3 linked regions of the Tribolium castaneum genome follow. The protein of the gene in region 1 binds, or shares a complex with, the protein of each later gene. Links are inferred from orthologs where the notes say so. Each region holds a gene or a part of one and is shown in the gene's direction. Other genes may lie near its edges.

Region 1 (11,227 bases):
CCACAGCCTTCTTATCATCGTCCTCCGATTCGTTATCACTCTCCTAATTAACAAAACACAATCACTTGAAACGTCAGAAATCCATAGCCAACTCACAAATTTAGACTTTTGTTGTTCTTTAATCGTCGATTTTAAAATCTCCATTGTTTCCTTCTCACTTTGTTTCATTTTTTCGTTATATTCCTCTCTCTCTTGTTTCTCCTTCTCGCGCTCCAATTGTTTCAATTTGTCACGTTCCATTTTCTCCAATCCTGGACGAGTATTTGTATCACGTGACCCAAACAACAACAAAAAATACAAACCTTCACGTATCCAAGCCGGCAATTGTTTACGTTTCGTGGCATCCAAAGTTGGCTGTGTTTCACTGATTAGGGGTTGTACCGGTCGTGGAACGTTAACTTTACTAAATCGTCGATTGTGTGGCTTTACTTGTTTTGAACTTCCGGCAGAAGTCCAATAACCCGACGAATAGTCGTTTTGGGGTACAGTAGAGTAGCTAAAACGCCAAAATTGGGGCGAAAATTCAAATTTCGCGCCGACAGTCGAACACGACCGAACGCACCCGAACGGTTGATTTAAGCCCAAAAATTGATTTTTCCAAAAAAAAAATTTTATTAAAGCGAGATTAATAAAACAATGAAAAATCCATGTTTCGAGTCGGTTTACGGTTAATTTTACCGAAAAATTCAAATGTCGCGCCACCGATTGACAGATCCGAAAACAGCCGATCGATTGATTTGTAAAAAAAATAATAAATAATTAATTACCCAGTGAAATTGGCGTTGTCGTTGACGCTCTCAGGGGGCGCATTATAGTTAAAGTTGGCGGGCGTGGGCAAAAGAGGGGGCTTTAGGGGCACCGGGGGTGGCACCCCCATGGGGGGCGTCCAGCCCCACGGCTGGTTCTGCGCATTCCAACTCCACTCATTCTGCGTGTGCCATTCAAGCGATTCGTCCTTGTCTTCGACGTCCATGGGGGCTTCGCCACCCTCATTTTTTGGGGCCTTTTCGCTCGAAATAACTGGTGGTGGCCCCGCTTCCTTCATTATGATCCACTGTTGGGCCAAAGCGGCCCAATCCACTTGCTCGTTGGACATGTTTTGGTACGTTGATGGGTTGAGTGCCCATTGAGGGTAGGTCTGAGATTCGGTCGAATCACTACCCGAGTACATTCCTACATCACTAACGACACGAAATCAACAATTTTCACTGCGATTGTCACTAGTTTTGGGCCAAATTCTATGGAAAATGAGCGAAAACCGGCTACATTTCCCACCAGATTGTCAAAACTAAACACCAACACGACCAACCAAAAAATACTACATTGCAACGCGAAAAATTAAATTTGGGCTTTCAAGCCCTAGACCGCGACCCACTTGTGCGTGAAATGGACCCCACGGGTCACAATTTATCCAAAAACGCCCAAAGTCGGGCTAAAAACAACAAAAACGGTGCTTATCTCTCAATTGGTACCACTGGTGGGGTAACAAATGTCAATAAAAAATCAGCAATAAAGCACGAAATTGACACAAAAAAGCGGAACAATCAATGAAAATATCCTTCCAGTGCCGTTTTAAACCCCCCAGTGTAGTAAAGTCGGGTTAAAAATTGCTTTTCGGGTGCCATCAAAACCTAACCCTAAAATGGCACGTCAGAGACGGACTCAGGGCGCCGCAGACCCCAATAAAGGTACAAACAGTAGCAGCAGCAATGGTAGCAACTCTACCAACAACCGATCTTCAAAATCCACTAGTCTCCTTTCATACTGGAAGCAAATCATCGGTTGTATTGTTCTGGGAATTGCGGTGTCTCTGGGCTACATGGGGTACTTGGAGACACGTGTCAATACCCCCTTCGACGATAAGAAGGTGCAATTGGTACACTTGTCCCCACTTTTGGTAAATTTTCATTTTAGATGGTTGTCAAAAGTGGGCTACAAGTCCCGGAACAATTTTGGGGGACGTACAGGCCGGGGCTTTATTTCGGGTTGAAAACACGTGACCCCACGTCACTTGTCACCGGTTTAATGTGGTATTTCCCCAAAAGGTTGCGTCCAGGGGGTGATGGGATACGTCATTGGTGTGAACAAGGTGATGGGTTGGAAAAATATGGGTGGGTTAAACATGATGGTAGTAATTTTGGGGTACAGGAAATTATCGATGGGGGCTATAATATCGATACGTCGTTTGTTAAGCGACTTGGGGGCAGCCATGGGGGCGATTGGACGGCTCGGATCAGTGTCACCAAAGTAAAAATTTGGAGATTTTTTGCGAATTTGGTAATTGGGTTTTGCAGCCTGGGGCAAGTGAGGATGTTTCACTCATCTGGTATACAGCGTTAGATGAGGAAACGAAAGGTTTTATCTCGCTTACTAATTCTGCTACGAAATTTACCGGAATTAAGGGGGAAACTACCGGTTTAGGGGAATTCACTATTAAGTTTACGAATAATTCCGGTGTTGTGAGTCATGAATCGTTTTTGAGTACGGTAGCCCCGGGACTTCACCTACTCAAGGAAACAGTGGTGGGGTCACTAAGACTGGCACAGGACAAACCAAATTCCCCCAGACGTATTGTTTTGGGCGGGGAAATACTCCCGGAAACGGGCACCGGAAAAGTACTACGTGTGCACAGAGAATAAGTGGCCCGTTATTTCGAAAGTTTAAAATTCCCGCCTGTCGGTAATACAGTAATCTTTATTTAATTATTGAAACTAGACGGCGCTGGTCTATTGGCATTGTTGACAACTTAATTTCGAAATCATAGGCCACTTGATCAGAATTGAGTGCACGGTAATAGAAAAAATATTGTAGGCACAACCAAACTTCGTCGCCGTACAATTAACGGGTAAAGTCCCGTTTTCGATCGATGTCGTTTTCGAATCGGGTAGTTTCGGTACAAGACAGGATACGCTGGTGGGGGAGACTTACAGCAAGGCTTTAGCTTGGCACGTGGCCAGGTTTGGACAAAGGTTTGAGGATACCTTTGGATTACACAAAAAAGGGTAATTATTTACTTGTTTTTGATCCGATTTTGAAATTTTTTTATACTTTCGACCACTAGACCGAGTGTAATCGTTGGTACTTGTTTTTGTCCAATTCCGCCAACTTTGACCTGACCGACTATTATCATAATTTTGTCGATAACTTTTTCGTTTGTGGTCAGATTTCGAAAATTTTTCATACTTTTGAGTCCTGCGCCGAGCGCGATCGTTAGCACTTGTTTTTATTCAAATCGGCCAATTTTGATTTTTTCTAGTTATGGTCCGAAAGAGGTGACCTTCGCCCAATCGGCCCTCAGTAACATGCTGGGAGGCATCGGCTATTTTTACGGCACTTCCAAAGTGCAAAGTTTCTACACCAAAGAACCGGTGCACTATTGGCACGCCCCCTTATACACAGCAGTCCCGTCTCGAAGTTTTTTCCCTCGTGGTTTTCTATGGGACGAAGGTTTCCATGGCTTTCTGATCGCAACGTGGGACCTTGACCTTGAACTTGACATTATCAGTCATTGGTTCGATTTGATGAACGTTGAAGGGTGGATCCCCCGTGAACAAATCCTGGGTGTTGAAGCTATAGCGAAAATACCCGAAGAATTTATCGTCCAACGAAATACTAACGCAAATCCGCCGACTTTCTTCCTCACGTTGCAATACATTTTGCGTAAATATTACGATAAGTTGAGCGAGGGACGTTTGGCAACACTGGAACGGTTGTATCCAAGGTTACAGGCGTGGTTTGCATGGTTTAATACCACGCAAAAAGGGGCGGGGCCTGGCATGTACCGGTGGAGGGGGCGTGACGCAACAACCAATCGTGAGCTGAATCCGAAAACTTTAACTTCGGGCCTTGACGATTATCCACGAGCGTCACATCCGACCGAAGCCGAATACCACGTCGATCTATACTGTTGGATCGCCATAGCTAGTGATACTTTAGCAAGGTTGGCAACACTGTTGGACCGTGATGGGTATAAATACGAACAAACTGCCGATTATTTGAAAGACAATTTCCTATTGGATAATTTACATTGGTCTAATTACGCATCGCGTTACGCCGATTATGGTTACCACACTGATTCTGTTAAATTAAAACGACCGAAACCGTTACCAAGGTCACAAAACCAAAACATGGAGATGGTGCGTGTGACCTTGAAAAATCCCGAATACCGATTGGTCGACTCGACTTTCGGTTACGTCAGTTTGTTTCCGTTTTTGTTACAAATGATTGATTCGGATTCGTTGAAATTGGGCCAGATTTTGGATGACCTTCGAAATCCTGACTTGTTATGGACGAAGTTTGGTCTAAGATCACTGTCCAAAAATTCACCCCTGTATATGAAACGCAACACCGAACATGATCCGCCATATTGGAGGGGCCAAATTTGGATAAATATCAATTTTCTAGCAGTCCGGTCCTTGTATTTCTACGCCAATACGGAGGGGCCCTATCGGGATAAAGCCAACGCGATTTATAAAGATTTGCGGGAAAATGTGATTAAAAACGTGATGACGCAATATTTCAAAACGGGTTATCTGTGGGAACAGTATAATGACGAAACGGGGGAGGGGAGTGGCTGTAGGCCTTTTACGGGCTGGACGGCCCTGGTTGTATTACTTATGGGCGAGCAATACTGAGTCAATAAAAATCTAAGTACGGTCCTGTGTTTTATTTAAAAATTAAAAATAAAACCCGCGCTATACGGAAGTTTAAGGGTCGGTTTACAGAAGCGTCATTAACTTAATCTGCAATTAAATGCGTCATTAATTTAATCTGCAATTAAATGCGTAATTTTTTGAAATTTGAAAATGAAGGTTATAGTAGGTTATTTGGGGCATGCGTGGTCAATTATCATCTGTCAAAAAGTTTGGTTATGATGGCTTCGAATTTGGCCAAAAATTTCGAAAATGTTACAATAGATGACCAAGAATTTGCCGAAAAATGCCACGAATTGGCCCAAGGTACGTACAAGTGGCCCCACATTGTGACATAACCTCAACTTTCAGCACTTGAATCGGGTCAAGTGACCTTGTTACGCCTTGTCGAGGACCTAGGGGGGCTCCTTATCGATACGAGCCCCAAGGGGCGCGAGCTGGGCATGTGGGTGTTGACACGTGTCGTCGAGACTTTGCCCCCCGATGTTTTGGACGAAAATCAATTAAAATTTTTAAATCAGTTTTACACGGACCGGCTTAAGGACAATCATTTTGTATGTCAGTCCAGGGGCTACTGTTTTTTAACTGAGGGCGATTTTAGGTGTTACCGGCCGTTTTGCGCGGTTTTCTCGCCTTAATTCGGTGCGAGGGGGCCCCGAAAGGGGGCCCTGGCCCTTTTCTCGTCCAACTCTTCCACAATGTCTCGTGCCAACAACAACAAGAAAACGACAGATTAGCAATTTATCAAATTTTCGAGACTTGTTTGGAGAAATTTTGGCCAGGTTTGGGCCCCCTTTTAAAATTCAATATCAGTCTTTTTTCCAGAATTGGATGAAATGGGGCCCGACTTTGTCTACGGTGTTATTTCGGCGGTTGATGGCGAACGCAGCCCCAAAAACCTGATTTTTCTCTTTGATTGGTTTCCGAAATTTTTACGAAAAGTCAAATTGGGGCACCTGGCTGAGGACGCTTTCGAAATCCTGGCGTGTTATTTCCCTGTTGATTTTAGGGCTCCGCCACAGGACGAAAACGTGCCCACTTTGTCCCCATTAAACGACAATCAATAATAATTTTTTACAGGGCATAACTCGAAATACCCTCGCTGAAAAGCTCGCCTTTTGCCTCGTTGCCGTTCCACAATTTGCCGAATTCTCCCTTCAATTAGCGTTAGAAAAATTCGATTCTTCGCTTGAAATTGCTAAATTGGATTCGTTACGACTTATTGTAAGTGGTTTTTTTTGTAGCGGACCGCAGACTAAACACCAAACTTGTAGGAACTATCATTTGTTACTTTTGATATTTCACCAACCACAGTATGGCCACTCATACAAAAAGAACTGTTCCAAACGACAAATCCAGCAATTGAAAAAGCCTGTTTAACAACAATGACAGCTGTTATTAAGCACACACGTGACCCAAATTTGACAGAAACGGTCAAAGATATCTGCGATACAATCAAAGGAAATTTTTTACCCGACTCAAAATTATTCCAACCGTCGGCACGTTTGATAATCAGTGTTGCCAACGCATCGGACAGCGTTGCCAACCTCGTAGCGCGTGAAACCGTCCCCATATTAACAAACATGTATAATATAGCCAACACAACGGCTGAAAAAACACCATTTTTGCGCCTACTAACCGACTTGTATGCACTTGCCAGCGATTTAGAAAATCTCGGGGAAGTACCGGTTTTACTTGTAAAATCTGACTCACCAATCGCTTTTGATTGTTTACGTGACATTTCGCCGAAACTACCCGAAAAAATCCGACTTTTACTTTACCAAAACTACGTCAAGTTGTTACAAGTGCCACAAGAAGGCGCTGTCTTACAATGTCTTGAAGCTTTAGCACGGGATTACCCGAACGAAGTGGCTACGCACGTGGTCGGTAATACAGAAAACTATACTCCATGTTTTCTAGACGCCTTGTGTGTGACTTTGGCAAATCAAAAATTTTTCACGGCCCATTTAATCGATTTAATTTTGAAAAATTGTGCAATAAAAACATTACAAAAAGTTTTAATCAAATTTGACGATTGTGACGCGATTTTTGACGTTTTAAACGCACAAAATATCACCCATGTGTTGATCGAGATGGCTTTGACTGGTGATACGTGTCACGAAACGATTGCATTTGTTTTGAAAATTGTGATTGGTCGAATGTCGAGCGAAAAACAAAATGAAATGATTCGAAACGAATTAAGTCGAATTAAGATTGAGGATATTTTTTTACTAAGCGGGATCTTGACTTGTTTAAGGCGCGATGTTGTAATTAATTACGAAATTTTAAGCGAATTAATTGAATTTATAATTAGGGAGAGGGATAATTTGAGACGTAACGCAGCTATAGAACTGGTTGCAAATATTTTGAACAAATGTCCCAATGGTAATTTAATTCCGTGTTTTAATTAATTATTACAATTAATTGTAGATGATGTAATTAGGGAATTTTTGGAACGGGTTGACACTAAAACCGACCCCATTCTTACGTCATGGCTCACCAAGGCCTTAATTATGCGTAATCACGAATTAGGCACATTCTGGACCACAAAAGTAGGCAATTAATTGCGTTAGCTCAGTCGTTAATTAATTAATTTTCCGCCTTAGTTAATCGATTATTTGGATAAAGATGAAAGTATAGCTCCGTGTTTTCGCACAATTATGTCCAATTCGGAGTCTTTAAGTACCAAAAGTCATTGCAATGTTGCGTAAGTTGATAATTTAGCACTTAAATAATTTTAATTAAATAACTTGTAGATTTTTGTACCAGCAGAAGTTTTTTACGATAGTTACGAATAAATTAAGTGCGAATTACAGTCCAGACAAGAATTCGTATTTATCAGGCCTTGGATATTTACTAGAGTTCGCACCAAAACCGGCCGTTTTAGTCCAATTTAGAAAAGTAATAATTTCAAATTGAATTTAACCAATTAATTTAATTTTGTAGATTTCGAAATTAATTATTTCGTGTCTTGACCACACCACCAATCATGAGATTCTCATTGTAATTTTGCGATTAATTCGCGATTTTATCACAACTAAGGAACAAGTTATTGAGGAAAATTTGGGGATTTTTTTGGCAAGATTTCTCAAATTAGCAACTTATGATAAATCTATGGTAATTAGTTAAAATAAAACAGGTTTTTTTGCTAATTTTTGTTTCAGAAAGTGCGAATTTTGGCCCTCCAGTGTTTACAAGAAGTCACTTCTAAGTTTCCAATTTTTATGCTTTTGCCTCACAAAAATGACGTTTTAAAGGTTTTAGGACAAGTAATCGATGATAAGAAACGAATTGTACGAAGGGAAGCAGTGGAGGCGCGCTCTATGTGGTTTTTGTTAGATTTTGATAAATAAATTTTATTACATTACAGGTTTCTGTAATTACCCTTTTCACCATTTTTTTTCCTCGAAATTTTTGCGCTCACTCGTTTTGGCAAACATTATGCTCGTTAAACGTTAAACCGACTTCTGTATAATGTTACTTACCCTCTTGCTTGTATCCGTTTTACTGGTTATAGAAAAATAGTGTGATCGTTTATTAATTTATCGTTTATTTGAAATACAATTCATAGATAATATAATAAAATACAATATTCAAAAATTTCATAATAAAACATGCACAGTTTTGATTGGTTTCCAACTCAAGAAAAAAAAAGTAATAACACCTGCAAAAAGCCTACTGCTGACATCAGTCTTTTTGCATTTCATTTATATAATTTCAGTCATGTATTTATACAATATATACTTATATATTACTTTTATTTAAAAATGGATGGATAACGTGAATTATCTAGCCAACACTAAAACTTTACGTAGATATTTACAAAAAACACTAGATTTTTAAAAAACAACTGTACAAATGGAATGTTATATATACAAAGTTTTTTTGCTTCCACACTTTGGCCGCTGAGTATTCTTCACTCACATGGCAAATCAGATCACTTTATTTCGCACTAAAATTATTATACATGGTGTTTATGATATAATTGAGCATTTTTTTAAAGTATCCCGTTTGTGAAATATTGAAAACCGTCGTAAAGTTTCGTTGATAGTGAGTGAATACTGACTTCCACCATACGATTCACTTCGAGTTGTAACTGCTCCTCGGTCATACTCATGTGGAAACGGTTCTTCAAATTCTGGACAGTCGCTGCGCCCGATTTAAAACACGGCAATTGCGAACCTGAAACAAGGTTAAAAACACACTGTACAGAGAAAATTTGACGGCTCTAGCGCCATTTTTAACCGAGATATGCAGGTGGCCGCAAAATTGTGGTCACCCGGTATGACAAGAAAATTCTTAGTTCAGCTATTTTTACCGTAAAAGAACCGAATTTTAAAGAAAAAAAAATGTGTACGTCGTAAAACAACCCACAAAAACTGAATTTAAAGTCAAAAAATAACATTTCCCAAAATTCAACAAACTACAGTCAAACCTACTTCACCCGAATAAACTTAAAACCGACATCTTTTCTTACGTAAAACGACCCGCTGAATCCAAAAATGAAAGAATTATTCACGTACGATGCACCGTTTGGAAAATATAAGTTTTTGAAAAAAAACCTACCTGATCTCATAATCTCGACCAATGGAACAATCATATCCATATGTTTCCTTGCAGCGACCAATCCTTGCAAAATTAAAATCTTAAAATACTCAAACATATCCGACTGATCACCACCCATGACTTCAACAAACTCAGCCGTTAATTTAAACGGCGACGTTTCGAATCCTAAATTTTTCGGTGACATACTCAGTATAAAACCGAAATCGATATGAATTAAATGACCATCACTTTTCAACAAAATATTTCCATTATGTCGATCTTTCACTTGTATCAAATAACAAAAGAGACAATAGGCGGCACAACTTTGTACGAAATTTTTCTGAGCTGTCAAAAATTCCTCACACGTTATTGGTCCATACTCATTGATAAAGTACTCCAACAGTGACAATTGTCGATGTTTTTTGATTTGATGGAGTGAGACAGTATTCAAAATGGGTTCAATCAACCCACTATCATTTGATAGACAAAGTATGCGATATGGGTGCACCCATAATGGTACATGTTCCATCTCCCATATTTTCTGGAACATTTGTAAAAGTTGCGATGCCATTAATTCCTGACGCAAATCATCGCCACATTTCACTATCACTGACAGTAGCGTCCATGATGTCAAATGCCCATATGGGCTACATTCACGAATACGTCTCTCCTTATCATGCCATGGTTCCTTCAGCACTGCGGCAGAAGGATCCTGAGGATCATGGGTGAACTGTTTATTTTTTTCCTCATGAATTGAATCAGACAAACGTCTGCGTATTTCCCCGGCTGCTATCCACATCGGGGGTTCCCTCGAATCACTCGATTCTTGTGACATTTGCGACAACGTATCGCGATCAGCTATACGTTTCAATTGCGTATACTGAAAAAAAATATATAGTTTGAGGCACTCACTTGCCTCGTGCTGTAAACCAAAAATTACCTGTTGCGATATTTCATCATCCTCCTGACTCCAATCGGGGTCAGTATCATCACACAAACCCCCACACATACTAAACGCCGATAATGAGGTCGTATCACCTAAATTTTCCTCAGATTTTGTGTGACGTAACGTTGGCCATATTTTTGGTGTAACAATTGACGTATGCAAATCATCAACTTCCACCACTTCGACATAGATAATATAAGGTGCCTTATCTTTGGAATTTAAGACGGCGCCAACTTGTGGCGGTATCCTAACAATGTGATGTGGGGTCGTTGCTAGGGGTAACCAAACACGAGCCGGCAAATTCAAATTAAGTGTCGTTAATTCCGCTACTAATCTTGTAGTTTTTGCTTCCTTGGTCGGTATAGAAGACAGTAATTTACCGATTGAAATCAGCGCTTTCATAAATTCAAGCTCGGGGGCGAGTCTAGGAGCCTAAAAACGCATTTTTAGAAAAGGGGTCGTCAGTTTCTAAAAGGGGTCGGGATTTTCTAAAAGGGGTCGGGATTTTCTAAAAGGGGTAGGACTTGTATTTTAAGCCTGGGGACCGAAATTAACATTTTCTGAAAAGGGGTACCCCTTACCGAGCACGTGCATTCAGTCTTTTTGCCTCGTAGGTCATTGACGACGCCTCTGCAACTGTCGAAACATGTGCATCCGTTGTCAAAGGCACGACCGGAGGTGAGGTCGCCCATACAGAGGCGTTTGTCGGTGGTTGAAGGGCGTCGTGTACCAAGGGCTGAAGCGTCGCTTTGTGAACGTTGATGTGATTTTTTCGTAGTTGTTGAATGTAGAGTGCTAAAGGTGGTAGAGACCATGATGGGTGTTTTATGGTCTTTGGGTCGAAGTTCGTCGGAAAGTATAAGATTACGAAGTTTGATGCCGAGTGGTTTCTTTTTCGATGGTACTGAAGCATCAGAACTATAGGCGTCCAAAAGCCAGGCACATTTTAGCGAAAAGTCGATCGATTTTCTACACCTGAAAGGGGTACACGGGGGTTTTTGGTCATTTTATCCAAAAAACTAAATCATAAATATCTCATTCCGACATTCAAACAGGGAAGAAGGGATAATTTTGGGCATTTTAG
Region 2 (9,933 bases), on another chromosome or scaffold:
GTTTCCAAGGCTCATAAACTATTAAATCCAATACCATAACTCTTATCTTTTTCGTTCCTCCCCGAAAAACTAAATAAAAATTCTGAACTAATAGAAGCGGTAGTGGCGCTGCGGTGAGGTAAAGCGCTCAAATATTTACAGAATGTGACCGCGCCTGTTAAACCACTTAAACTCTTCGCAAACCGACCATCAAATAATTCATATTGAAATTTATTTAATACACTTATCGTCGGGCGGATATCAGCGAGAACCTCCCCGTCCTTCGCATTATTCACGATGTTTAGCATCAATTTTTAATTCTCCCTTGGGCGGTTCTCCCTAATTCGCGCTATTGCAAATCGATGTTATTTGTTCGAACCGTCTGCCACCGTTTCAATGAAATCTAGCGGGAATGAAGTACCAAGAATTCCGATAAAAATAATAAAGTTAATCAGTTGCGTACCAACTCGAGAAGGCTGAAACGAGCGCGGAAAGAACATCGGCGCTCATCTTTGCGTGCTTAAATCTTGTTTGAAGATCATTATCCGGACGCTGCGCCGAAATGGTCGTGCGAAATGTGTAAACTAGAAATAACTTTAAAAAAGCCCAACGGAGTTAGAGAAAACGAGAAATCGAGACGGATGTTGCTGTCTTGCTCGCGTGTTGTATGTTTTGGCAAAAAAGCGAATTGCTTCCAACTTTTGCCTATTTGAATTGGAAATTACCCACCGATTTTGTTGCTTTTTGAGCTCTGATTGCCTTTAATTAAGCCCCTTTAACAAAAAATACTCCAATTTAAAACTTATGTACGGCTTGTTTTCTAGAAATACGTCTTTCGGTGGAGAAAAACAACACAGAAGTTGGTATTTAACTTAATATTATTGCACTTGGTGTTTTTACTCCTTGCTTACATTTCTTGGTCGAAACTTTGGTTTTATTTTGCTTTTATCGCGGCAATTTTATGGTAAAGTTGAATGTAAATTTAAAATGAGACAATTTATTAGTGGAAGCGAGCAAAATCAAAGCAATAAAACCGTGGAAAAGCGTTCAAGGCGTAGATTGTGTATCCATAGATTAAGACGAGATTATCGCCATTATTTCGGGTTAGTTCAGGATATAAAGGGGAGGATTACTTATATCTGAGATTTATCAATTGACTAAGCCCGGTTCTTTGAAAAATGTTCGAAACAAAACAAACCAGTGTAGTTATTAAAGTTTGCTTCTGAAGCAGAATTGCCAAGGAAACGGCAGTGAAAATTCACGACAAACAATTAAAAACTCTTGTTGGTTTCAGTAATCGATGTGATTTCAGATTAAACAGTTTACAAACAAATATTTATTATTACATATTATTATTATTTTATTATTATTATTATTATTATTACACTTATCTTATCAGTATCATTTCACATTAAATGAATTGCATTTACCTGAATGTTTTTAAAATGTTAAAAAACGGGTTAGTAATGTAGTTGTGAATAAAAGATCATGTTTTAAAGAGAATGATAAATAAACATCAATATCAAACGAAATAGTATACTGACTGATCATTATTACTCCGCTATCTATTATTTATAAAAACCAACATGAAAAGGACAAAACGTGCGTAGTTTTCAATCAATATACTATTGTTAGTATCTGTAATTCTAAACTATCGTATTTCTTGTTTTAGATTTGAAAATACATATTTAAGTAAAACTAGAACCTAATCAAATACTTAACAAAGTTTAATTTAACTGTATTTCAACCCCACAATAAATTACAGTCAATCAATGTTCCGCAACTTTATTTCGTTTAAAAACAATTATTAACACCAGACGCCAGGAATTTTTTTCAAATGATTAGCGACTTAGCCAGAAACTAGGAAATAAGTTATTAAATTTGTTTAAAAACTTATTTATTTATTAAACATTTGCACGTTAAGAAAAATTGCAAATTGTAAGTTTATTTTGTAGATTTTATTATAAATTAATCATTACCATAATAGTATTATTTTAAGTAATAAGTACCAAACAACGTTATCCTTAAAAAAACTAATGTTTGGTTTAGTTTACGTTTATTGTACGACATGAAATCACACATAAAATAGGCGAAATTCACGACTACAGGATATTTCACATAATTTTACGAAGCCTGTCGGTGTAAGATAAAATCAACAATGCATGTTCTGTGTCTTGATAGAGTAGTACATGATAATTATTTCCGAAAAAAAATAATTCACAACTGTTAATAAAATAGCGATTAGTTTGACAAATATACTACAATGGGTTTTCAAAAATAAAATAATTGAATTTTAATTAACAAATTCCGGAATTTTCATAAAAACTCCTGGTCAGCGCCTTCTTATTCTAGCCTAGGTTAAATTAGAACAGATAAGATAAATTTTTATAGTCTGGACATTGTGTCTTGCCGTTTCGAACACCTTTTTAGTCGTAAGTTAACACTTTTTTGGGGAACTGATCCCCAATTTCCATTTTTTTAATATTTGATATAATTAAAAACTTTCAAACTACATAGATCAAGAAATTAACAGAAATAAAAATTAAACATACAGTATAAAATAAAATTTAAAAATATTAAAAATTGCAAATATAAAAATGGTGGATGCGCCGGGCTAGCTTTTAATCTTATGTTATTAAATGGCAAATAAGCACATTTATTGTGTGGCTTCATAATCGAACATTTTCCATAATGATGATCACGCAAGGGCAAAAAGCAATCCTTCCTAGGCGAAGGGTTAAAGCGGACATTTACGGCCATCTCCGAGTCTCTCTTTCTGCAAACTCATTCTGACTAGTTCATATAACTGTCAGCAGAGAGCGACATCGCTTCATCATGGTCAAAGCCAGTAGATATACTAAAGTAGCGACACGGACCTTGACAGGGCAACAATAACGATTATATACTCTAGAGAGGGCGCAACTATCGAAATTCGACATATACCGCATTATTTACATAAAATGCCTAGCCTTGAAAAGCCTTAGTAAGTGCGTTTTGTCTCTGTTTCTACGTTTAATCTTCACTAAATGAAATTGCTAAAGGGGATGCTCTAAAGAGATATTCGTTAAAGGTCACATTAGATGATAGATTTAAATTGAGAATGTATTTAAACAAGCAGTTTAGTTTTCCAAGGCTCGACATTTTTTGTAATAACGCTGTAATTTTAAAGGTTCGTCAAATTGTCAGTAATTTTGAACATACGTCAAAACTGTCAAGATTCTCTCACTTTTGAAAAATTGGTAAAGAGTACAATGATTCTGGTGTTCATCTGTAGTTTTACTGTGGTTATTGGTTATGAACAGATTCCATGGAACTTTCAAACCTGTGCTTCAATCACGTAAATAATAAATCGACACCAAAAACATTAAACAAAGGAGCCTCCAGACTGTTCAAAGTCGTCCACATTACGAAGCACGTCTGTGTAATAATACTAGAAACTCATTCAAACAAAATTTGATTAAGAAATGTAAAGTGGTAGGTATCAACTTCAAAGAGAAATTTCTAAGATACCAAATTTTCATTAAGTATTTCAGGTAGATTTAAACAATACGTCCTTGAAAATTCATTCTAAATTATTAGATTCCGCCCTAATGGGAAAGAATTTAAGACCGCTCTGCTTACACTGACCTTCGTTTCAGAAAATTTAATGCATCTAAATCTGGGAATTGTAGCGCATCGAAGTTTGGTGGACTTTTTATAGCCACTTATTTACAGCAACTATGTTATACAAAATTTAAATAATAAAGAGAAATTCAGGTTGTATTATTTCTATTTCTTAAGTAATATCGAGGTGTAAACCGTACCCCAAATTTTGTACACCTGTGATTTAATCATGATTCCTTCTGATTTTTCCCTAAATTTTTAAAGTGATTTCCTTAAAATTTCTTGATTTACTCAATTTTGTACACTGATTTCCTCTGCGGTTTACCTCTCGGGTAATATTGAAAACACTTACTTTTATTATTGCGAAAAATGTCTTGGTTTCATAGCAGTTGTTAATAGTGTTGAGGGAAAAAATTAAATTTAATTAAAAAAAAATAAATCGACCAATTTAAAATCTTGGAGTAATTAAATACGATAAACTGTAAAAACACTTAGAGAGGAGTTTATTAAAATTAGAAATGTAAGTATCACAATTTTTTTAAATCAAACAATTATTATTTTGAAACGTGTTTTTGGCTTTTTCGTTAAATACAAAGTTCAAATTCTTTTAAGGAATGAATTCACTGTTGAAGCGCCAGCACCTTCTTCGAAATGTCCATAAGAGTTGCTGTATTCTGCGCATTCTAAAAGCCTTTCTCATTGCAATGTTCAGTTGAATTTAGGGACGATCTGATTTATTTTTACGTGAGTGAAGCACAAGTTTGAAGGTTTCATGGTATCTGTACACATAAACTGTAATAACCAGGGTGAAATTATAGACGATCACCGAATTTATTGTTCTGATTCACCAATTTTTCAAACGTGAAAAAATCTTGACATTTTTGACGTACGTTTTTGAATTTTGATAGTGGAGCCATCTGTAGAGTGTATAATCGTTATTGTTGCCCTGTCAAGGTCCGTGTCGCTACTTTAGTATATCTACTGGCTTTGATCATGGTCAGTGTGATGAATGATACGGTCAGTAAGAAGGCGCCACTGTCGCGTCACTCACCCGACTTGCACACGTAATTTTCATTTTCTCCGCCAATCCGATTAAAAACGAAACTGCACAGCCAAGTTAAAAACTCCCAGAGACAAAAACGAACATCACGCCTTGTCTCTAAATTACTCTTTATTTATCTAAGTACGTGCCTGGAGCAGGTCGCATTGGAACCCCATAAAATCCCGAGTACAAGTTTTAATGTTCCTTTCAGTTGTTTGACTCCAAGGAATCCCCCATAAAGTACATCGTTTATAATCGAAATATACGAGATAGGTGCAATATAAAATGATCATTTTATTTCTTTATTAAGTCGGACGTTCCCTCGAGTTCGGAAACAGATCGAAGTCGTTTTTTTATCATGGTTAATGTCCCAGTGTGGTCTTTTAAATCGAGCATTAAACTTTTCGGACCGAATGGAACTTGCCGGACCACACTGAAACATTAATTTTTGCGCCGCCCAAAGGGCCGATACAAATTATTTCGATTTGGGATCGAGAGTTTTCAGCCGTGGCTTGCCGCCGGCTCAATTAATTTGGAAATCAATAACAGTCCACTGTTGTACACATTTTTGCTAAAGAGAACTAACGCGTTGCAAACAAAACGTCAATGATGTCCACGCTAGTTTTACGGTTTGAAATATATAACTCTTAAGGAAAAAATTACCAAATACGCCGAGGCCGCTCAGCGACCCTTAAAAAATCCCATCAATTTTCCCAATCGGCCCCTAAATGCATAAAATTGTGTGGAATAAATCAACTTTGTATTCATAAAGCAGACAACAATCAGACAAATAAATACATTCCTGGTGTTCTGCCTTATTCTGGTAACCGCCGGCACAAAAAAATGATTTATCGGCCGGCGTCTGGTAGACACACCAGGTTTATTCTTGGCCAAAATATCACGTTGTCATTAGTAAGATTGATGTTTCCTCGTATTAGTCCCGATCGAATCCCTCCAGTCGTCCGCATGCAAACATCTCTAATTCGCTGTGAAGACAAGCCGCCCGTGCAAAACTGCATCAAGTCGATGTTTATCTTCTTTATGGCTCCTGTTTCCTGCTTGTTAGAGTCCAGAGTCGAGGATTGTTTGACCAAAGCACCCCACAAAACATCCTCTCGAGTTCCAGGTGAATCTCCGGAAGTGGTTAATCCATTATGTATGTTGCTGAAAGCATCGGGATTTTGTATGGAAATCATTCCGTAACTTATGAATAGGCGGATAGGGCGCAAGTTTACTTACTTCTTGCTGCGGCATTAAAGATGGATGGCTGAATCGGAGGATTCCAAAAGCCACCTATCGACTGTCCGCCCCCTTTAATAGTTTATTGAAACGCGAAGACTTGGGGTCAGATTTTATGGAAAGAACGGATTTATGGAAAGCGCAATTTACACACACAAAAATCGCTCCCCATTGTTGCGAAAAGCAACTCTATGGAAACTACAAACTGACACGACTTTGACTACCCAAATGGAGAAATACTACATTTTAAGGAACCCTCAGTCTAGATTAGTTTTAGATGGAACACAAACGATTGTTGCCGCCCGCCAAGTCACCAGGTTCGACACTCAGCTGTGGAAAGTGGAACATGTGGAGTGTGGAAAATTTTTCATCCACAACAAGGCTAACAAAGGGTGAGCGCTTCCTTGTTTTTATAAAGCTAATCCCGAAAGTGCAAACTTAGAAAAGTTTTAGACATCGAACGTGAAAGTAAAACAGGAGCCAACATCTTACTCTGCGAAAAAGAAAATGGAAACATAAACCAAAACTGGTACATAAATTCCGACGGTTCCATCGTCTGTGCTAACGGTGATGATTTTGCACTTGATATTTCAACGGACAGAAAAGTTAAACTTGAACGAAAGACTGGGTACCAAAACCAAAAATTTGAATTCTGCAGCAGAGGTGATATCTGAATTAACTACCCATCTAAGAATTAAAGTGGAGATTTGAACCAAGTTTGTTTTAATAAAAACCGCCACTTTTTGAAGTGTTATGTAATTATAAAGTCGAAGAATGAATGTTTTTTACCAAGTGTTAAAGAAACAGATAAATTGACGAAATGGTACTTTTAGAAAACCAGAACAAGAAGAAAAAGGAAATAAAAAAGATCTTGCCACAAGCATAACAAGTCAATTATATAAACTAAATCTTCGAAAACTATTAAATTGTTATAAAAAATACTTTGAAGAATGAAAACTTTGTCTGATGCAACGTTACGAACAGCAAAAACTGAATTAATTTAGTATTCAAAATAAATATCCCAGTAGTTTATAAATTAAAATAAATTGTAAAGCTAATGTAAAAAAACATGTGACAACTTCCAATTTCAACCTTAATTAACATAAGTACCACACATCTAACTAAATGAAAACGTATAATAATGCTGAGTCATTTTAAACTTGTGAAAAAGTATGAGTATTTCGCGTTATCTGATGCTCACCAGAGTTTCAAATTAATACTACAATCAAACCAGACACAAGCAATAATAAGATTTCATGAGATATATCGTCAAATATACACACACAAACAACGCAGCAACAAATCAGTAACATATTTTCTAACAAGAAATAAAGTGGACACGATCTTTGCCATTTACTTGACAATCCAGTTTATCTAGTCTCAAGTTTTTACTAGAATGTGTATTCAAAGTTATATTTTACAGACACAGACCTCGTAGAATTTTGGAATCACCCGGTAGAAAATAGTTCAAAAATGGTGGATGCGCCGGGCTATTTGTTCAATTTTCTAGCACAATCACTGTTACTTTTTGATTATTTTGTTGTTCCAATTTTAGAGTAGTATCACCTAGTACTGGGCCTAGTACTACTAGTAAAATTTCCAAATTGTTTACTATGCACAGTCTGTAGTAAATTTGTAGCCTTTATTGAAAAATAAGACTGAAAATAATAGGACTCATGCATAAAATTGTAATTTTAATAAAAGATTTGCAAAGTTGCGAAAGGTAATAAAAGTTACATTGAGAATATGGACACGCTTATCATTCCCCGTGAATCGTCCTGCAACAACCACTTTAGATTCGAAAGGATTCCATTAGGAGAGTTTAGGCAACCAAATCTACAAATTGAATTGAACTGAAAGACACTTATTATTGTGAACTTATAAATATTTTTTATTTATAATAATCATATGGGTACGATCTCAGGTATCATCAACACAAAAATATTCTTGTAACCAACTAATATTAATCAACAATTAAAATGTCGACTCAATCTGTTACGGTAAATTTCCATTGAGGTATTTTTCTTATTCCAAAAAACTTGTGATGAATAATTAAATTAAAAAATTAAAAAATACTATTATATTTAATTTATTTATGTGTATTTATAAAATACGAGTATATTGCCAATTTGGTGTCACAACACCTTTAAAATTTCTGCAAGTCATTGCTTTATATGGATTCACCTAATTATAGAATTCTGTTCGGAAATGAAAGCCCCACAACCCACAACAATTAACTATTACGTGCACAATCAAAACCTTTCGAACTTGGGTTATCATTACAAGAGCTTCAACTTGAGATAATTTTTAAATCTGGCAATCAGTAACAAAATGACCTCACACGACGCCGGACAATTTTCTCAACAAAAGCCTTGAATTTTTTTAACTTCCTTTAACAGTTTTCCAAATAAGCACAAAATGCCTGACCTTCTGGAGCTGGTGGAATTTGAAGGTTAGAACAGCTGATCAATTACCATTACTCGTTACATGAGTTATTTGTAAAAATTACATAATGTTTTTATCATTTTTCCGGAAAAAAACAGATAGTCCACGCAAGGAAGTCAAGGAGGTGAGTGAAGATGATAGTGAATTGAAATATACAGTTTATGGTGAGTGCTTGAGCCTGATTTTAGTAAAAATTTAATTTAGGGGTTGTTTTAGATTTAATTCGCACTATAAAGGACCCAGAGAAACCCAACACTTTGGAAGAATTAAACGTAGTTTATGAGGAGGGAGTTGAGGTGATTTGTTCCTTTTTTTTTGATAAATTGCTGAGTTTATGGTATTTGAGGTTAAGGAACGTACTTCTGGCAATGTTAGCGTTGTGAGGGTTGAATTTAATCCCACTGTGCCCCACTGTTCTTTAGCAACGCTAATTGGATTGTGTATTAGGATAAAATTAGAAAGATGTATTCCTTATAGGATTAAATTAGATATTTATATCAAGGCAGGAGCCCACACAACTGAACACGAAAGTAGGTCAAGTTTAAAGGCATTTCGTCAATAACATCTTTTTTTAGTCAATAAGCAAATTAACGATAAAGAGAGAATAGCAGCCGCAATGGAAAATCCAAACTTGCGGGAAATGGTAGAAAACTGTATTGTTGAAGAAGACTGAACTTTGTATCCAGGTATTTAAGCCGAAATGTTATTTACTATTTTATTAGAATTACATATTATATCGTATTTATAAAGTTTTTCCTTGCTCCTTTCAGTACAAAATGAGACTCTAGCTTCAAGCTCTCAGAAAATTGTTCTGGAAAATTTCCCAAAAATGTTTCCTGGTTTCGATGTTTCACTGTTGAAAATCACGGTGACGCAGCATTTCGCATATTTTTTTTCAAGACTCATTCTATTTTTGAAACAGCGTCTCATCGCTGTTTTGTGATTAATAAAAAATCTATTTGGGGGTTTCACAAAACATGAGTAACAGATATCACACTTGGGTTTATTTCAGAATAGAAAAAATACATAAGTAAAATATAAATATCTTGTCTCATCCCTATCTCTATTATGCACCATCTTGATTTGATAATTTACAAATTACACCTAAAAATCATAAGGAAGTCACTTAGACATTACAGAAAAGGTTAGGTTGCAAACAAATCTAATCCTCGTGCCGTTTCTATAAATTTTCTAAACGTCCTTATTGCTATTTTCAATCGGCTTTATAAATAAATAATACTATAACCGCCAAATTTTCGCTTAAATGTTAAAATTTTCTTTAAAAACACTTGTTTCCAAAAGCTCAATCAAGCAATTATTTGTTGCTTCACTCGCCAAAATTTCATAATTTTGGTTTGAAATGTTAATGTTATTATCAGTGTCCAGTTGTAGCAGTCTTTGCCTTTTGTAACCTAAACATAGAAAAGCCACGAGGTTAGACACAAATTGAAGGAACGGCACAATTTTGTACAAAAATAACAAAAAAGGAGACATACTAATAACGCCTCAAATAACAAGTACAATTAAAAATCTGATAAAAAATCCTAATTAGCAGTCTCAAAAAATAACACCAATTATTGGTAAATGACAAAAACAATTTGTTCGTTTGCTTAACAACTCTACAA
Region 3 (10,332 bases), on another chromosome or scaffold:
GCGAACTAGGAGGAAATCAATCATGTTTTTAGTCAGAAAAAATGTTTTTAACACTTTGTAATTTGGGGGGATCAAGTCGAGGACGTATTTGAGCGTCGTGGAGAATTGCATTTGGAGATAGGTGCGCAAGACACGACTTAGTTTTTCGACGGCTTTGAAGTCTTTAGAGGAACGAAATTTCATTTTGAGGCGGTAGACGGTGCGTGAGAGGAGCGCTGCCTCGGTGCAGAGGTGCTGCTGGTTGTCGAAAAAGGCCACAGCGTCGGTTAGCGTAATTTTTAAAAGGCGAATATCTGCAGAAATTAAAAAATTGGAAGTGACATAACCTCACTTTTACCATCGAATTTCGGGCCAAAATAACTTAAATTATTGTTTCAATAGGCCAAAAGCGAGTTACGATGTCGAGATAAAGCGTCCTTTATAAAATTCATAAAAAAATAAAGACAACCTCACTAACGTCTCGACAGTTTTTTTCGCAATAAAGCCCCGTTTTACGTAACTATAGCGTATAAATTTATCATAATTTGAAAAAACTAGCGTTTTTTCCCGACTGGTGCCGGAAAATTGCACAATTTTCGTAAAAATCACTCGATTGGTGTGACATAACCTCACAATATTTTTCTTCCCTTTGTATTAATTTTCCAAATAAATGTTTAAACGTGACTTGGTCCAAAACAACAATTTGGCGCTTTTCAATCAAAATGACCTCTTACCTATTTCTTTGGTGCTGATTTTGCAATTAATGATGGGTGGGGGCTTCAAATATTTTGCATTCCACAAATCCATGACTTCTTTTAAAACTGCAAACACCTACAATTGTGCGGAAAATTGCAAAATTGGCGAAAAAATTATTTTACCTTGACACTTTTATTAGAAAGTTAATTCACATTTTGTGAATAGAAACGTTATTTTGTGGGGTATGTACCAATAAGCACCATTTCTGTTGTTAGAAGTGTGATTTTTTTCCAATTATTGACGATATTTTAAGCACTTTTAGTCGGTCACAATTTTTTTGAAGTTAGGTTGACACATGTCAAAAGTGAGGTTAGGATGGGGTTGTGAGATAAGGGGACGAAGGTCACAGTCAAGGACATGACGAGAAGATCATTAATTCTTCATTATTGCGAGCGGCAATCTCAATTAAACGATTCCTGGATTGATTATTGCATCCAGTACTAAAAATTGTAATCACTACATTTTCAAAAGTGGATTTATTTGCTTGTCATCGTGTCAAGGCTTAACAGTAAATTGCGATTAGATAATAAAATATCTTATAACACTGCTGCGAATTCGTAAACGGCGAGTATTGTCTCCTTGTTGTTTAATTTGGAAGAAGGGGTTCAAATGAATTTGACCTCAATCAACCTCTAGTGCAGTGATAAATACCACACTTTTGTTGTATGTTAATCGTTCTATAACCATGGATAATTTTTTAATTCATAATTATTGTCAGTGTCACATTTCTAATCAGAATTTTTAATTCAGCGTTAATTTAAGTCGTAATTAGTTTCAGGTTGTTTAGTTCGCAATGGAGTCACTCTCGCAGACGCTACAGCCCCACAAAGACACCGTGGGGACGGTGGCCAGTTACCTCACAATTCTGCAATTTTTCTCGGGGGTTTTCATTTGTAGAGACATTTACAAAAAAGGCAACACTGACGGTGTGAATTCGATGCCGTTTGTGGGCGGTATCATGTTGTAAGTCACAATTATCTTTAGTAGAAGAAAAAAATAATAATTTTTAATTATTATAAGAGGGTTGGCAATGCTGAAATATGGTTTGATGCTTGGGGACGAAAACATGCTGCTAGTAAACTTATTCGCAATCGTCCTTAACGTAATTTACTGCATCGTCTATTATTTTTACTCGAATGACAAGTGGAAGCAAATCCTGAAGCCCCTCTCCATAAGCATGGCTTTTGTTGCGGTCTTGTGGGGCTATTGCGAGTATGAGAGCCCCTCAGTGGTCGAATTTCGCTACGGATTGATTGTCACAATACTGATGCTTGCCGTTTTGGGGAGCCCCCTTCTCGGAGTTGTACGTAATCAAAACAAAACATTTTAGCCCCCTAACTTTTAATCGCAGAAAGAAATCATCGAGAAAAAAGACGCCTCTGAAATCCCCTTCGTTCTAACATTAATGGCGACTTTGGTGACCTTCTCGTGGCTTTTGTACGCCATTATTTTAAAAAATGAATTCATGCTTGTGAGTTTGAACTAATTGTGGGAAAATTATTAATTTCTACGTTTCAAGGTTCAAAACGTGGCTGGGTTTGTGCTGTGTTTCGTCCAGTTAATTTTAATTTTTGCTTATCCAGGAGGCGGGAGACAAGTAAGCAAAAAAAAGAAGAAGCATTAAAAAAGGGCAAACAATTAAAGAATTAAGTATTGAATAATTCACATTCCAGGCAGCGGCGGCAGCGAGCTGAGTTTTCGCCAAATGTTATTTTCAACGCCTTAGTTGAATAAATCATTCAAATTAAATGGGTTTTTCATTTTGTGACCAAAATCAGCGGTCACGTGACCAAACTGAACAAATGTGATTGGTCCATTCGCGCTTTTTAACAACGAATTACATTTTAAGAAAGTTTTCTATAAACGGCCCTTTTAGAGATTTATTAACTTAACACACGTATTTTTGATACACCCTAAATAAACGGTTGAACGCACTTTTTAACCAAAATGTTTGTTGCGAGATGTTTGATTGGAGTAACTCCTGACTTACCTTACATTGAAAAAAGGTGTCGTGACTCTTGCGCAATTCGGGAAATTCGGTATTTGACCACATTTTTGCACCAAGCACTCGCACTAAGTTACACTATCCGATAAATCTTGCGGTAACAACGCTCGCATAGAAAGACACAACCCGCACTGACCTTATCATTTCGTAAGCGGCGACAAAAAAGGGTAGATATTTCAACGACAAATCGTCTTTTTTGCGAAGATTTTTTTGTCGAGATCACACAATTTTATCTCAGTGGCGTGCTGTAGAATTTTAACTAAATTTCAAATACGTTTAATTCATTATAAGACTGAAATGGAAATGTTTCAATCCAAGGAGTTACGCCTTTTAATATAAAAATAAAACCGCCAACTAGTTAAAATATTTTATTATATAAATATGTTTATACATTAAAGAAGTATTTACAAACAAATGCAATCATACAAAAATAATAAAATCCAATGACTAACCTACAGAGCCATCCGATCGCAGCGCTACCAACTCAATTCACGGGGGGAAACACAGCCTTTGAAAAAAAGTGGGAAGTTTCTATCACACGCCGCCGTACATACAACATTTTTGAGCTCTCTGACATTATCACAATGAAGATGATGGTTTTTCCTGATTTAGAGTAACATTTGTAATATCTTTGACGATCATTTCGGCCACTTGCCAGGCCATTTCTTCCTTCCTTTTATCCTCGTCGAGACTCACAAACTTCTTGACAACATTTTTAAACTTGAAACTTTTCCGATCAGGTTCTGGCTCCAAATCAGTTTCAAATTTACCCAAAGCTGTGATCCTCCCACAGGATAATCTGTGCGTTCGTCTCCTCTTCCAGAGCGAATCGGGGTCGCACAACTGCCTCGTGTCGATACTCATATCTGCGTTTTTATCCTTCTTTTTACAATTATTATTATTAAAGTTTAACTCTAACGCTAGAAATGCGCTATTTGTACTGAAACTCTTCTCGCTGCTGCAATCGGACGAAAGCGTCCGATTATTCTCGAGATTAAAATAATCGTTAGACTGAACGGTGTTTATCAACTCGGACAGATATTTGCAAAATAACTGTGACTCCAAAAACGGTTTGAGATAGTTTTTCTCCAACACTTGTTCGACGATTTTCAAGGGCAACTTGAAACAATCCAAGACAAGTCCGTTCTCCCCGCAAATATTTTGTTCGATTTCGAAGCGAACTTTATCGCCGAAACCCAACGGACAATGGGCTTGCAGCGAAAAATACTTATCGTAGAGCACAACAGCGTCATTTTGGGCCTCAATTGGGTCAAAAAACTCCTTTTGATTGGTCAAATGTTGCTGCAAGTTGGTGGCAGCGATCCAGAACTCCAACAAATTGCACGAATTCTCCTGTTCGAGAAACTCCATAAAGTAGAAAAGCGCCGTTTCGTTGTAGAGAATATCGTCAAGGGCCACTTGGCCACTCGTCAAAACATCGATCTGGTATTTGCAGAAATAATCGCTGGCTAAAAACGCCTCAAAATACTCCTTCTCCATGACTTCGGTAACGAAACTCTGAACGGGGTCCAAACAACTGGCGATTTTCTCCAAGTCACAAATGTTTTCAACGAGTTCGTTACGAACTGACTCGGGGCATTTAACATTGTGAGCGGACTCCTGAGCTATGTACTTTTTAAAAATCGCAACAGCGCCCTCAACTAGACTAGATTCACACGAATCACTCGAATTTTGGGTGTCACTGGAGTCGCAATCCGTACTTATCTCACACTTAAACGACTCAATGTCCCCCCAACAATTGATAAATTTGGCGGCGTTTCGCGCCTCCATAAACTGGGTAAAGTAGCCCAGAGCCCCCTTATCGCCCAAAACCTCGTCCAAGGTCCGACATAGCCGTGACCTCGTTGCCTCAAACTCATCTTTAAGACACAATAACCCCAATTTCTACAATTTCGTACTCACCGATATCGAGGTCCAGAGGGGGCGGCTTCGGGGGCCGGGGCCGCGGCGTCACCGCTGGGGCTGCGCATTTCGTGTCATTGCCGGCTTTGGAAACACTAATTAGGAAAACCCAAACATCAATTACGAAATTACGCACCTTTTGATTTCCTCCAAAACTGTAACATGGTTCATCGTAATGATGGGTTGTGGGGGCGGGGGCGAGTCCGATCAACCCAACAGTGCCAAGAGGCCCCAAAACACCCACAAAACCGATTGTTTTGATAAACAAAGTTGATTGTGATTCACGGCACAAAAAATGTAAACGTCAAATGAGGCTGGCCACACCGACGGCAAAAAAAAACAAAAATCGCACATTCAACCACGAAAAAAAAATTCAAAATTAAGCGAACAATTAATTTAGAAGAAACATAATTGATTTTGCACTTAAGTACGCAATTTTATTGGTAAATAATTGCAAAAAAACGCAATAATAATCATGCGTTGGCTGCATTGAATGACAGTGCGGCCAACTCAACGAAGCAAAAACGTAATAAAATCACCCATTTTTTCACGTTTTGTGGCATTGGTAAGCCCCTTAAGTACATTTGCCCCCTTTTGGCACGTCGTGCGTCCCCCGAGACCACTTTTTAACCACCCTGTCGTTGTTCGCGACCCTAACCCCAAAATGTCAAAGCTTGAGCCCCTTCAAACTTTATGCAAGCACACGGGGCGCGTTTGGGACGTGAGTTGGCACCCGAAGGGGCAAACGTTCGCCTCGTGTGGCGAAGACAAGACCATCCGAATCTGGTCGAAAGACTCGGACTCGAAGTGGTCGAATAAAGTAATTCTAACCGATGGCCACAAACGCACAATTCGGGAAATTGCGTGGTCCCCCTGTGGCAATTACCTCGCCTCGGCCTCCTTTGACACCACTACGTGCATTTGGGACAAGAAATCGGGCGAGTTCGAGTGCAATGCCACTCTTGAGGGGCACGAAAATGAGGTTAAGAGTGTTTCCTGGTCGAAGTCGGGGCGATTTTTGGCCACTTGTAGCCGTGACAAGTCGGTTTGGATTTGGGAGATTGCCGAGGAGGATGAGTATGATTGCGCGGCCGTGTTGAGTGCGCACACACAGGATGTGAAGAAAGTAGGTAGCAAGGGGGCGATTTTTGTTGTTATGGAGGTTGTTGCAGGTCGTGTGGCACCCACATGACGATATCCTCGCCTCGGCCTCCTACGACAACACGGTTAAGTTGTTCAAAGAGGACCAGTCAGACAACGACTGGGTTTGTTTTGCCACCTTACAGGGGCACGAGTCAACGGTTTGGAGCATAAGTTGGGACAAAACGGGGACAAGGATTGTGTCGTGTAGCGACGACGCCACGTTGAAAATCTGGCAAAAGGGCCAAAATACGGAGGAAACGTGGAAATGTGTGTGTACCATGTCGGGGTACCACAACAGAACCATCTATGACGTGTCTTGGAACCACTCAAGTGACTTGATCGCCACCGCTTGCGGTGACGACGCTATCAGAATTTTTAAAGAGGAGGAAGGGGGCGACTTAGAGGCCCCCACGTTTAGCCAAGTCACCTGCATTGAGAGGGCGCACGCCCAGGATGTCAACTGCGTCGCCTGGAACCCCCTTCTTAGTGATATTTTAGTGTCGTGCAGCGACGACGGGGAAATTAAATTGTGGAAATTTATCCCTGAATAAAATTGTTTGACGTTCCTTTGTTTTTCTTTGATGGATAGGCGGCTGTTTATGTCAATTGTTTACAATTGAACGTCACAGCCTACTGTCGCCCATCCATTGAGATTACTTTTTCGTTCCACAGATGTTAATAAGACGGTTGGCGGCCCTAAGTCGGATTAAAAATTACTACAGCACGGGCCCCCAAATGTCGGTCAAAGAAATCGTCAAAACTTTACAATCCTACGCCCCCTTGACCCTTGCCGAGAGCTGGGACAATGTGGGGCTCCTGGTGGACCCAATGACCGACAAACAGGTCAAAACAATTCTATTAACAAACGACCTCACTGAGGATGTGGTCAATGAAGCTAAAAACTTCCAAGCGGGGCTCATTATCTCCTATCACCCTAATATCTTTCAAGGCCTTAAAACAGTCTCTGACAAGTACGCCCCAAATTACACAGCCAATCAAAACTAATCGTTTTGTCACAGGACTTGGAAAGAACGAATCGTAATCCAATGTATTAGACATGAAATTGCGGTTTACTCGCCCCATACGAGCTGGGATTGTGTCGAAGGGGGCGTTAATGATTGGCTAGCCTCAGCGTTCGCTTTTAAAAACATTGCGCCAATCAAACCATTGGAAAATCCGAGACAAGGGGCGGGGCGCATCCTCACACTAGACACGCCCATAACTGTGGAAACCGCGGTCGCAAATGTCAAAAAACATGTCGGGGTGGGGCATCTGCGACTCGCATTGGCTAGGAACAAAGGTTTAGGTAAGCCACGCCCTTGAAATTGAGTGAAACGAAAGTGATTTTCAGATGCGAGGATTGAAACCGTGGGGCTGTGTGCCGGTTCGGGGGCTTCGGTTTTAAAGGGGCTCACGAGCGATTTGTACCTAACGGGGGAAATGTCCCACCATGAAGTCCTGGATGCTACGCAAAACGGGGTTCATGTGATTCTCTGCGAACATAGTAATTCCGAACGGGGCTTTTTGGGGCGTTTCCAGAAACAATTGAGTGATTTGTTGCAAAATTCAGTCAATATTATTGTTTCAAGTGTCGATAAAGACCCATTAATTGTAGTTTGAGTAGGCTGGTGAATAAACAATCGTGTCAAATGTTTGGTTTTATTGACCAATCAAATCAGGCTTTGAGATTTTGTAGGTAATGCAGGTACCTGTTATAAAACCCATCACCTATCGTATCCGTCCATTCTTCGTGCCACGACCTCTCCAACTGGTCTTGAATCCTAACTTTCGTCTCCTTATGCACTTGATCCTCCAAATCCAATTTCAAAAAATAATCCTTATAGAATCGTCTCAAGTCCAAAAAACCCAAAGTCGGAGCCTCAACTTCGACAAATTTCGACGTTTCGTAGAGCCATGTCATCGTGGGGGCACTCCACCAGTCCCAGGATACGTTTTGAGTCTCACTTTTGTTGCAAAACGGTGTCAGAAAACTCTCAATACTTGCGAGGAAAATTCCGACATGGAGGGGGCTCACACGGTTCGTTTCGTTGTAGAGGGGCTCCGAGGGCGGCGCTTCGATTTGCGGGCGAAGACAAGCCCCCGGAATGTGGCTAACAATCAAGACAGAGCCCAATAAAGTCAATAAGGCGGCCGTGTAAGCCGTAATGAGGATCACAGAAATGGTCAAAATGTTTTGGATGAGGTTTCGCAATTCGACGCTTGTTAAAAGACGCTCTAGTTCGGTGTAGGTGTAAAAGCCGCGTTTTCCACCCTGGTTGCGGGCCAAGGTCGTTTCGATTTCGGACAGTTTCTTCCAAAATGTCAGCTCAGTAACGAAGACTTCCCAGTCCTAAGGAAAAAAAAATTGGGATTCAATTTTTTTTAAACTCGTTCTAGCATAGTTTCATTGACCTTATGTTCGATTTTTTATTGTTTGATTTTTCCAATTTTTGTCGCGATTTATCGAGCAATAACTCCGTAACTATCAGAGATAACCCTAAGTATGATACTATTTTTTTACAATTTTTTTATTGTTTAAAACAGTCTTGAATACTTACAATAGCTTTGAGGAACTCCTTTTCTAGCTGAACCAACTGTTTGACGCTCATGCCCCCTGAAAGGGCCCATTCGTTCATAAAAACCTCATCTGCCTCACCGTCATCATAGAGAAATTTGCATGAAACCATCTAGAAACCACTTAATGTTTTTTCGCTAATTTATTGTGATTCAAATTTTACCAAAGAAACCAAAAACAAGTCAGACGAAGCCGTGCGTTCGAGATACTCAGGGCATGTCTTTTTCAAGCGTTCTAGATACAAAATCGCAATAACCAAAGAGCAAGGGGACACACAGGCATTTCTTGAAATATTCGCAGCATCGTCACAATGCAGCCTGTCCAAGGACCGGCCTTTCTGGGCTTCGGAGAACAGCTCTGCGGCTAATTCTAACAAAAACACGTTTTTTACTGACTTACAACACAACAAACACACCCACCTGTTACAGGCAGACTCAGCTCATCTGTCTTGGGGAATTTACCGTAATAGAGGGTCTTGGTGATCCGCGAAATGTACTTCTGGTGCTCCCCTATGTGTCTCTAAAGCCACAAACGCGTGATTTTTGCAAAAGGGGGCCAAGTCTCACCTTATCCTTTACCCGTTTCGGAAGCTTAGACATTGTCTTACCCACTTGGAACAGCCCCAAAACGTGTCGTATGATTCGCAATTGCGTATAATTAATCACAGATTTGCAATCAGTGTTTTTTTAATCATGGACCTTGGCAATGTCACCGGACATGCGCGTGGCCCCCTAACCTCAATTTTTTTCAAACTCTAAATAAACCAACCAAACTTGCAACTTCGCCCTTGGTGGCCATCACAGACCCAAGCACACAACTAATTTATAATCTAACCCCACAAAACCACGAAAAAGTGCCAAAAATAGCAAAATATAGGCCCAATTTCAAACTTGGCGCCGTTTCGTGACGTGACGTCAGCCCGCTAGACTCACTCACTCACAGGTGGAGTGGGATCATTCAGATGATTCCTGAGTGATTTAAATAATTTTCAAACAATTTCGAACTAAAACCGCGTTTGGGAGTGTGTGGGTGTTAGAGTCGTGCCATAGTTACAAAATGACACCCTCCGTGCGGGCCACAAGTTGATACTCCTCCCCCTAACTAAATAAATAGCCCCCACAATGGCAACAAAACTAGTGAGACACTTAGATTTAGCAAAAGTGATCAACAGGGGGGCGCACCGCATCACTTGGACGCCCCGAACTAAGCTAACGAATTTCGCTCCATGTAGATATGCACTGAAAACACAACATATCAAACTTAATTTTAGTACAAGCTGTAGATTGGGGGGCAGTGGCGGGCACGCTGAGACCACAAGCACCACTCAGGGCTTGTCTAAGTTACAAGCGCAGGAACTGGTCTTGAGACTGAACGGTGAGGAGAGAAATATCCTGATTTCGGCGCTCCAGGAGTACCAATCAAAACTAGTCAAAGACGAGTACGAAGGTAAAGAACAGGTATTTGTGTTTTTCTGTTCATTTGTAGCATTTTCGTTGCTGTTTTTGCTTAATTTCGATTATTAAACTACGATTTGTGTTAGACGTAGGCAACCCAAAAAACACACGTGTGACTAGGTTTGCCTAGTCACTGGCAAATTTTTAAACAATTAGGATTTGCGAGGTTTTTATCAGTATGTGACACTTAAAAAAGTGATAATCTCTTATTGTATTGTATGGTTAATTGAAATGACTGATAAAAAACAGGGTCAGACGTCTGAGGCTCTTTTTGCAACGATTAAGTCCTTGGATTATTTTCGCTACTTTTTTATTTTTAAATGTCCAAACTTAAGGTCAACTAGCAGCTTCACGATGGAGAAGTAAGTTTGGACGTCCGAGCAAATTGCCAAGGCTGGGAGATGTAGATCCCACGGGATCTTATTGTCCTGTTCCCGAAGACTGGTTAAAGAAGAAGTTTGGTACGAAAACAATAAAATTCCGCTCTTTTGTAGGAG

The links.
Region 2: Mms19 (region 1) and galla-1 share a complex: the UniProt entries of both Homo sapiens proteins name them as parts of the CIA complex. The link is inferred for Tribolium castaneum from reciprocal best matches to the Homo sapiens genes MMS19 and CIAO2A.
Region 3: Mms19 (region 1) and Ciao1 share a complex: the UniProt entries of both Homo sapiens proteins name them as parts of the MMXD complex. The link is inferred for Tribolium castaneum from reciprocal best matches to the Homo sapiens genes MMS19 and CIAO1.

The regions. Positions count from the first base shown.
Region 1 is NC_087400.1:4,133,843-4,145,069, reverse strand, and holds Mms19 (MMS19 nucleotide excision repair protein homolog), read left to right. Parts: upstream 1-4,801; 5' UTR 4,802-4,870; coding exon 4,871-4,958; intron 4,959-5,003; coding exon 5,004-5,206; intron 5,207-5,253; coding exon 5,254-5,434; intron 5,435-5,477; coding exon 5,478-5,683; intron 5,684-5,732; coding exon 5,733-5,876; intron 5,877-5,926; coding exon 5,927-7,037; intron 7,038-7,082; coding exon 7,083-7,204; intron 7,205-7,258; coding exon 7,259-7,359; intron 7,360-7,408; coding exon 7,409-7,553; intron 7,554-7,598; coding exon 7,599-7,769; intron 7,770-7,816; coding exon 7,817-8,005; 3' UTR 8,006-8,019; downstream 8,020-11,227. Other genes in the region: arginine/serine-rich protein PNISR, read right to left, coding at 1-43, 97-251, 303-496, 768-1,171; GCS1 (mannosyl-oligosaccharide glucosidase), read left to right, coding at 1,643-1,867, 1,915-2,247, 2,295-2,615, 2,812-3,002, 3,257-4,634; fwd (phosphatidylinositol 4-kinase beta), read right to left, coding at 8,650-8,834, 9,219-10,575, 10,725-11,118. UniProt on the Homo sapiens protein: Key component of the cytosolic iron-sulfur protein assembly (CIA) complex, a multiprotein complex that mediates the incorporation of iron-sulfur cluster into apoproteins specifically involved in DNA metabolism and genomic integrity.
Region 2 is NC_087396.1:14,604,803-14,614,735, forward strand, and holds galla-1 (MIP18 family protein galla-1), read left to right. Parts: upstream 1-8,136; 5' UTR 8,137-8,281; coding exon 8,282-8,315; intron 8,316-8,406; coding exon 8,407-8,472; intron 8,473-8,524; coding exon 8,525-8,604; intron 8,605-8,654; coding exon 8,655-8,838; intron 8,839-8,883; coding exon 8,884-8,981; 3' UTR 8,982-8,994; exon of another isoform or gene 8,995-9,049; intron 9,050-9,078; 3' UTR 9,079-9,362; downstream 9,363-9,933. UniProt on the Homo sapiens protein: Component of the cytosolic iron-sulfur protein assembly (CIA) complex, a multiprotein complex that mediates the incorporation of iron-sulfur cluster into extramitochondrial Fe/S proteins.
Region 3 is NC_087395.1:25,657,985-25,668,316, reverse strand, and holds Ciao1 (probable cytosolic iron-sulfur protein assembly protein Ciao1), read left to right. Parts: upstream 1-5,010; 5' UTR 5,011-5,156; coding exon 5,157-5,789; intron 5,790-5,835; coding exon 5,836-6,357; 3' UTR 6,358-6,371; downstream 6,372-10,332. Other genes in the region: uncharacterized protein LOC135265320, read right to left, coding at 1-293, 714-786; sugar transporter SWEET1, read left to right, coding at 1,529-1,698, 1,756-2,038, 2,087-2,206, 2,255-2,359; pkaap (A-kinase anchor protein 10, mitochondrial), read right to left, coding at 3,320-4,620, 4,664-4,747, 4,800-4,827; protein CNPPD1, read right to left, coding at 7,482-8,156, 8,365-8,493, 8,545-8,750, 8,801-8,900, 8,948-8,980; uncharacterized protein LOC660444, read left to right, coding at 9,503-9,827, 10,171-10,296. UniProt on the Homo sapiens protein: Key component of the cytosolic iron-sulfur protein assembly (CIA) complex, a multiprotein complex that mediates the incorporation of iron-sulfur cluster into extramitochondrial Fe/S proteins.